Linked DNA regions of Canis lupus familiaris. The protein of the gene in region 2 purifies or fractionates together with the protein of the main gene of each other region. This does not show direct contact. Links are inferred from orthologs where the notes say so. Each region holds a gene or a part of one and is shown on either strand. Other genes may lie near its edges.

Region 1 (4,073 bases), on a different chromosome or scaffold from region 2:
CCTCCTTAACTAATTTAATTAGAATTTGAAACACTCTGACTTCATAGTCCACCTTGTTAATCACTATACTAAACTGCATCTCTCCAAAAGAGAAAATACAATACACCTATTGTGTGCCAGGAGAGACAAAGGTAACCAAATACATCCCAACTTAGACAAGTTGGTTAGTTCACAGAGATGAAGTAAAAACTTGCATGTACATCAAAGGACGTATTCTATAGCAAAAAAAAAGGTTATCTGTATATTGTGATGAGTGTGTTCTGCTTACTGAAAATAAGGGGTAACTTTAACTTCTGTGCATTATGATATGGTTCAAGCAAGAGCATCTGTGTTTGCAACTATTTATATTTGTTGACTTGCTCAAGAATATTAAAAAATCTTACTTAAAACAATGAAATTGATAAAAATTAAAAGCAAATGTCTTAGTACTTTGATTTTTACTTACTGTTTTTGAAGTTCGCTAAGTCATGTGTTTAATTTTGTTTTTAATTAAATGCACTATTTATAAAATCCCAAATAAAGATTTTTTTCCAGACATTTGCTTGCCTAAATTCTCCCTGCCAAATCCTGCCATTTGGAAGAAAACCTCACAGTTTACAACTGTACTACAATAGGCTAATGTCCTGAGGAGATCTCTGATGGTCAATGTAATTCAAAACATTTACAGAAAATGAAAATACACCTTTAATTTCATAACCAATCAATCAATACAGACATTAATGCCTTGAGTATTATATAATGGTTTGTATTAAGCATCCGAAAGAGCCCCAAGAGCAATGTCCAACATTAGGTGGTTCATGCTAGTAAATATGTAAGAAGCACCTACTATGTGCCATGGACCATGCTCATCCACAAATGATACTTGTTAAACAGAGAGTGGCAGTCTAGAACTACAATTCAAATTCTTGTGTTATGAATATCACGTTAGATATTCAAACCAAAAGCTCAAGCTCCAATGCATAACTTTCTTCCTATATCCAAAGAGTTATTCCTAGGGCTTCTGCAATCTACAAACCACTAAATATGCTAACATGAAGAGACTAGCATGGGCACCCAGCACAACCCGGAGTACAAAATAAGCCTTGGGTTATGGTGGTGTACTCTGTCCTCTGGAGCTTTACACCATGAAAATTTGGCACTTCTCCTAACGTGACTTGTTTTTCCCAAAAATTGTTTTAAAAAAGAAAAAAAGGGGGGGGGGGCGCTTTGTTGCTTACAAAAACTATTACTCCTACATATTCTTCTCTAACAGAACTTTAGAAAATACTAATAGTAAAGAAACAGTGACAACTAATTAGTAAGCTGATGCCAGGGTACTTTATATGACTTACTGAGCCTCTAGAAACTGGTCTCAAAAATGCTTAAAAATCATGCTGAGTGGGACGCCCAGGTGGCTCACCGGTTGAGCGTCTGCCTTCGGCCCAGGCGGTGATCCCGGGGTTCTGGGATCGAGTCCCACGTCGGGCTCCCTGAATGGAGCCTGCTTCTCCCTCTGCCTGTGTCTCTGCCTCTCTGTGTGTGTGTCTCTCATGAATAAATACATAAAATCTTTGAAAAAAAATCATGCTGAGTAAAACGCATCTGACTGTACCTAAAAGCTGCTCATAAAGAATGTGGGGTAAAAAAAAAACAGTAATTTCTGAAGCCAATATTTTTAGTTTGGAGAGACAGCTCACCAGAAGTTTGTCACAGCTTTTATAGTGTGTCCAATTCCATAATCTATCCTAAGATAACTCCATTCCCACTGCACATCATCCCTAGCAACTATTCAGCAACTCCCAATATGTAATCTACTGTCCACTGTATCTTTGACCACAAACCTCAAACCAGCCAGTCCTTAAATTTCCTCGGCTCACAAAACCTCCCCCTTTATATAGACAAGAGGAGTTACAAAAACTTTCAGAGAGTAAAAGTGACATAAGGCGGTGAAAAAGTATACACAGCCCGTGCACGCAAGCTCTTCTCCTTTGTATCCAAGAACGTGTCATGGATCCCAATCACACACCTTCGCACTCCTGGTTAATCCAGGGTTCCTCTGCCTTATCAATAGTTGAAAACGCCCACGTGCTAATAAAGGAGAGTCCTTACACCTCCACTCAGTCTCAGACCCTGTTTACATTACTCATTCGCGCATCCCAACTCCATCCGGTCGAGGTATCGCTCCAACTCCTAAGCCATCACACGAGCCTCACCCACACTCTCCCGTCCTCTTCGCTATCAACACGCTCCAACTCCCTGCAAAGCCTTCCCTACCATCAGCTCTCCCTTCATGAGTCTTTCCCGGGTCCCCAACACAGCCTCCACGTCCTCCTGCCCAGCGCCGACTCCAGCACGGAGTCACGCCCTCCCCGCAGCCTTATTCCTACAACCCCAAACCCCACCCCTTCCTCGCGCCCGCCGGGCCTCCCGCCCCACGGCCGTCACGCCCCCAGATCCCTCCGGGGTCCTTCCAGCCGGCCGGGCCTCCCCCCTCAGGGCTGCCGAGCGCCGGGGCCTCCCGCCCCCCCGCCGGCTCCGCCAGCCCCGCCCTCAGCCCCTCACCAAGGAGCAGCAGCTTCACTTCTTTGGCCGCTTTCTCCCCGTCCTCCCGCAAGTTGCGGTCGATCATCTTGCTCCGCTCCACCGCCGCCTTGTCCTCGGCGCTCAACGTGCAGCCCATGGCGGCGGCGGGAGAGGGACCGAGGCCGGGCTCACTCACACACCGCAGAGACTGCGGCTCGGCGGGCGCAGACGGCGTCTACTGCTGGGCGGCGGCCCTCTCCGTCAGCTCCTTGAGCGCCCGAAGCAACCGGATATCCGGCGCGTACGACACTTCCGGCGACGCCCCACGGCGGTGACTGCTCCGCGTCTCCCGCTGGGGCCGAGGAGGAGCGATCGAAGGCGGAAGTGCGGTGCCCGGCGGGCGAGGCGTCGGCCAGCCCCGGGGACGCCGCTAGGCTTACAGCTTCTTCTCCTTCTCGGCTGCTTTATTTGGATAAATGTAGAAGAACCAGGGACTGGCTTCCCCAGTTCGTGGCGCCCTCCTGAGTCCCAGCCGGCCTTGGAGGGCGGCGGAGTTCCCAGGAAGAGTCCGCTCCCCGCACGGAAGTTCCTGCTGAGGGCTTCTCCCCGGCCTGGAAGCCCCTGTGGCCCCAGGCTGTGGGGAGCCCGAGCGCCCTCCCGAGGGTGCCCTGTCGAGCTGTGTCGGCCCGGCCGCGGTGGGAGCTCGCCGCGCACCCTACCCCCCGCGCCTGCGCCCCCCCGGGGCCCGCCGCTGCCCCGGTGGGACCGCCCTCCTGGACGATCCGGTGCTTGTGCTGCTACCTGCGGCTTGCGCGGTGCCCGCGCCACGTCTCTCCAGTGTGAGCCAGTTGGGCGCGGATAGAGAGGATCCTGCGTTAGGCGCCTCGGACTCCTACCAAAATCAGTTAACCTCAGGCCCACGCCCCAAAACACACCAGCGCATCCTGTCAATCTCCCCGCTGAAATCTCCTGTTGTAGTACCACACAAAAAGGGAAGTTCTGGTAGATTTGTCTTTCAGCTCCTGCGTCACCTGAAAACAAACCTCTATGAAAGCCCTCGACTTTTCACTCCTAGTTCTGAGTACTACCTTCAAAGTGACTCTGAATTACCTTGATGGCTAAATAGCTGCACAAATACCCTCCACCCTACATTCTAGAGATGAGAACTCTTGTGGTCCCCCAAACCTTTGCCTGGGATTAAAAATTATTTCCCTAATAGAATCTCAACCTTAGCGTATAAGATCCAAACAGAAAGGTCTATATGGCGATGATTCATTCATTAGAGGGATTTCTTGAGAGCCACCTTAAACAACTTCATCCCCTATAATTTAGTAATGCCAGTCCTTCAAAGTTTGAAGAGACTCCTACTCATTCCCAAATGACTGTTACAATAAGAATGATGGCTTTCCCGTAATCGGTACTTATGGGAGAGGAGGGCAAGAAGAAAGGGAAGAAAATCCAGTATTTATGGAGCACCTATTTGCCAGGTATGGCTAGGTGCTTCCACGTGCTCATCTCTTAACCCTCACAACAACCTGGGAGGTAGGTAATATCACCCCCATTTTTTTTCA
Region 2 (3,954 bases):
GAGGGGCTGGTTGGAGGTCTAGCTGGCCAACGTCCTGTGTGCAGGCATGGGAACCAGGCAGCCTCTGGCTCGAGGTGGTGGTGGGTTCCCCAAGGGATGCCAAGAGACAAGTGTCACTCGTCCCGAGGGCTGCCTGCACACAGCAATGCTAGTGCTCTGACGGCACAGGCAAGGATTCTAGAGACAGCCACAAACAGCTCTAAGACACAAACTCCGCTGTTGACTCTGAAAACCCGTCAAGATAACCAGCACAGGTAAAACCTTCAAGTGTGTGCGTGTGAGAGGGGCCACGTGTTTCTGAGGGAGGTAGAATCTGGTTTTCTGCCAAACTGGACCACGAAGCAGCTGGAGAAATGGCCTGAATCACACTCTGCTTACCAGTGTGACCGTAAAAAAAGCAGTGATCAAGGCTGCTTGGGAAAGTCAGAGCCACTGAGGACCCCACAGGTCAGGTCCCTCTGCCCACCTGGTGCAGACGCTTCTCCAGGAAGCTGAGAAGGACGTGAATCACATCCATGTTCGCTCCCAGGAACTCCAGGGAGCCTTTGTGTGGCTCCAGGGTAAGGAGGACGTCCAGACACTTGAGGGGCAAGTTCCCCAGGAGATTCACTGTGTGGCTGAGGACAGATCAGGAGGAGGGCTTGATAGGTCCGACCCCCCAGCATAAGTACAAGCCTTGCTGCCCCCTAAAGAGGCCGCATGTGACTTGAACTAGCATCTAGGGATTTGATGACCAGAACCAGGGGCCGGTACTGAGGGTGAGACTGACCCTAGAGATGTTCCCACATAGTCGGTGGGGTGAGTTCCTAAGAAAGGGGGCACGCTCCGTCTGGGTTGAAGCCCCGCGGACAATCTCTGGAGCGCCAGAACCTGCCCAGGCACAAGTCGCCGAAACAGAACTCAGCAGTTACTCGCTAACTACCACGTGGTTGGTTACTACTAACTCCACTGCAGACACAGATACCGTTCTTGGATTCGTTTCTCTTGTCCTAGCCCCTTACCATAGACACACACTGATGGAAATCCCACCCCTGTAGGTGAAGCCTCTCCAGGGGGAAGCCTAGCCGACAGCCAGGGTGAGAACTACTGTCTAGACCCCTGAGCACACTTCCCTTCCATTGAACGGGCCCCACCCTCACCCGTGGAACTCCTCTGTGCGGTCTCCAGCAGCAGCGACCATCACACAGTGCCGCAGAATGGTCCCCAGGTGCCGATAAAGGGCCGCATCTTCCTGACCAAAAAGAAAGGGGTTCCTGTGAGAGGAGGCCCCACTCTGGGATCACATGCACGGACTATGCATTTTCTCTACTGTGTGCCCAACCCCTCGTCCTCCCCCACGTAGCCTTGAAAGCATTTCCTTAACCAAGACCATTACCAGGTCTTCCTGGGATAAAAATCACAACCTACTCTAGTGTCCTGCTCGTGACCTCTCCATGTACCAAACAGCCCTCCTACCAGGCTGCAAGTGCCAGGTATGCCCTCTGCCTTTCTCAGACAGTCTCTGAAGGCCCCTGTACATGATGTACAGCTCCCTGCCTCCTCCCAATAGGCTGAGAGCTCTTCCCGTCCTCTCCCCGTCTGATACCTGGAACCTACGAGTTCGCTATAGGCAAACAGAGCCAGCAAGTGTCCACACCGTTAAGCCCTACCTGTGGGCTCAAGTCAGTCCTCACCTCGTCTACCTCCCTCTTGATGGAGTCGAAGGTGATATTGAAGAGCACTTTGAGGATCTCCATGGCCCGCTCGGTCTCCTGGGGAGGAAGAAGCTCCGGGGGGTTCTCGTCAGGGCTCATTCCCAGGGTCAGCTCCAGCGCATCAGTCAGCAGGTGCACTCCCCGCAATTCCTGAAACAGCTGCTGCCTAACGTCAGTGCGAAGTGCCGTGAGCAAGAAGAGGAGGCGCAGATCAAAGAACTGGATGTCGTGTGGAAAGCTACTCTTGCGATACAGCCCCACGCGCTCTGCGAGCCTCACCACCAGGCGGGCCTCTGCTGCCAGCACCTGTGCCACCGGGCTGCTCAGCACGAGGTTGCACAGGCACTTCAGGGACTCGAGGACAACGTCCATGTCCAGAGGCTCCGGGCCAGACCCCTCCAAGGCGATGCCGGCATAGCAGGCAAGGGCCTGCAGGCTCTGGCGGCTGGTGAAAGGGTCCAGGCAGCTTCGGTCCCTGGACAGGATGCGGATGCTCTGCAGCCAGGTGACGCGGCGGGGGGGTGGCAAGCCCTGCTCCAGGACCGAGACCAGCAGCTCCGCCAGCCTCTGTGGGCGGGAAGAAGAGCGGCTCCAGCAGGCCCCCTACCCCGGGGCCACGCGCCCCCGCCCCCTGCCCTCGGTCCGCACCCACCTTCCGGTCCTCCTGCTGGGCGTCGTCAAACGTGAAGCTCTGGGAGTTCTGCAGAGACGGGGAGGCTCAGCGGGCTCGGCCGCCGCGGGCGCCCGCACCCCCCCCGCCTCTCCCCGTCCCCCAAGGTGCGCGCAGACCCCGGCCCCTCCGCCGCGCGCCGCCCGCCGCCCGCCGCCCGCAGCCCGCAGGCCCGGGTCCGCACACGCGAGCCCCGCCCGGCCCACCTCTTCCGTGCAAGCACGTTCACGGCTCGCGCTCACCTCCCGGTTGTACGTGCGCAGAGCCTCCATGATCACGTCCTCCTCGCCCGCTTCCACGGCATCCGCAACCACCCGGGGATCCATGGCGCCTCCGGGATCCCGCGCCGAGCCGGCGGGAAGGGGAGCTGCTTCCCGGCTCCGGGCGGAGTTCCGCCGCTCCGCCCCGACTGGGCGCGCGGGGCAGGCCGGGACTGGGAGCGCGCGGGGCGGGGCGGGGCGGGGCGGGGCCAGGGCTGCGCGCGGGGCAGGCCGGGACTGGGAGCGCGCGGGGCGGGGCCAGGGCTGCGCGCGCGGCATGCCGGGACTGGGAGCGCGCGCCGCGGGGCGGGGCCAGGGCTGTAGGTTCATTAAGGGGGCGAGACCTGGATCAGCTGGCTGGGACTTGAGTGTTTTGCCGGGGAGTGAGCGCGAGTTTCAAAGGTCCTACTAGGTGATTTTTCGACCTCGGAGCTGAGCGGCCTCCGAAGCTAACGGGGACCCACTCACCTTCCCACGCACGCCCCCCTAGATGCCTAGCACCAGTGCAAGTCCGGGGGAAAAGCGAAGTGGGAAGGACTTTGCGGCCCCGGGACCCGCCGACCGCTGGTTCCCGGCCCTCTGGGAGCGTGAGCTCGCACGTGAGGGCAAGGAGCCACGGGCAGCGGTCTCAGCGCTGTGGCGAATAAAGTGGGCTGCAAAGGGATGTGCGGAAGTAGCATTTCTGCTGAGGCCGGACGATAAGAAGGGATCCGGGGGAAGGTCGTTCGGTGGCCGCGGCGGGGACGCAAACATGTCCCTGAGCTCCAGGGGAGGGCGGGGAGGGTCAGGATCACCGGCAGCCACGTCCCAGGTGTGTGGCCTGGACTGAGCTCCCTCTCCCGTGTGTGTGGTCGCAGCGGTGCCCGCCGTGCAGCCAGCCTTTGTGGGCCGCCTCCGTTCCCGCGGCGCCGGGACCAAGGCAAGAGGCACCGGCCGCTACGGCCTCTGCTGCCCCCACACTCCCGGCCCCCGTCTGGCTTCGCTTCCCTTCGGAGTGCGTCACCCTTGCGTCTTCCAGGCCCTGGCCTCCACCGCGTCCCCTCGGCAACGCCTGGGGCGGGGACCCGCGGCGACCCCAGCAGCCAGGCCCGCGGGGGAAAGCGGGGACGCCCGGAGCGGGACCCGGCCCCGCCCTCCGCGCCATTGGCCGCTGGCGGCGTCTGTCACGCGTCCTCGGCACTTAAGGCCCGCCCCCCTAGTCCGGAAGTCGGCCGGACGTCGGCCGGAAGTCGGCGGGCAGAGCGGAAGCGGCGGGGTCCCGGTCCTCCCCGGTTGCGCCACGTCCGCTGAGGCGGTGGCTGGGCCGCTGGCGGGGCGGGGCCGGGGACGG

Evidence for each region. Proteins that work in one complex are often made in the same cells at the same time.
Region 1: the proteins of RIC8A (region 2) and GNAI3 purify together in Homo sapiens (affinity purification with mass spectrometry; 3 studies listed by BioGRID and IntAct, counting the BioPlex papers as one, with this or other methods). This does not show direct contact. The link is inferred for Canis lupus familiaris from reciprocal best matches to the Homo sapiens genes RIC8A and GNAI3.

Annotation. Positions count from the first base shown.
Region 1 is NC_049227.1:42,768,914-42,772,986, forward strand, and holds the start of GNAI3 (guanine nucleotide-binding protein G(i) subunit alpha), read right to left. Parts: upstream 2,801-4,073; 5' UTR 2,660-2,800; coding exon 2,542-2,659; intron 2,325-2,541; exon of another isoform or gene 2,254-2,324; intron 1-2,253. UniProt on the Homo sapiens protein: Heterotrimeric guanine nucleotide-binding proteins (G proteins) function as transducers downstream of G protein-coupled receptors (GPCRs) in numerous signaling cascades.
Region 2 is NC_049239.1:25,714,060-25,718,013, reverse strand, and holds the start of RIC8A (synembryn-A), read right to left. Parts: upstream 2,801-3,954; 5' UTR 2,691-2,800; coding exon 2,607-2,690; intron 2,395-2,606; coding exon 2,347-2,394; intron 2,262-2,346; coding exon 1,674-2,261; intron 1,232-1,673; coding exon 1,140-1,231; intron 618-1,139; coding exon 467-617; intron 1-466.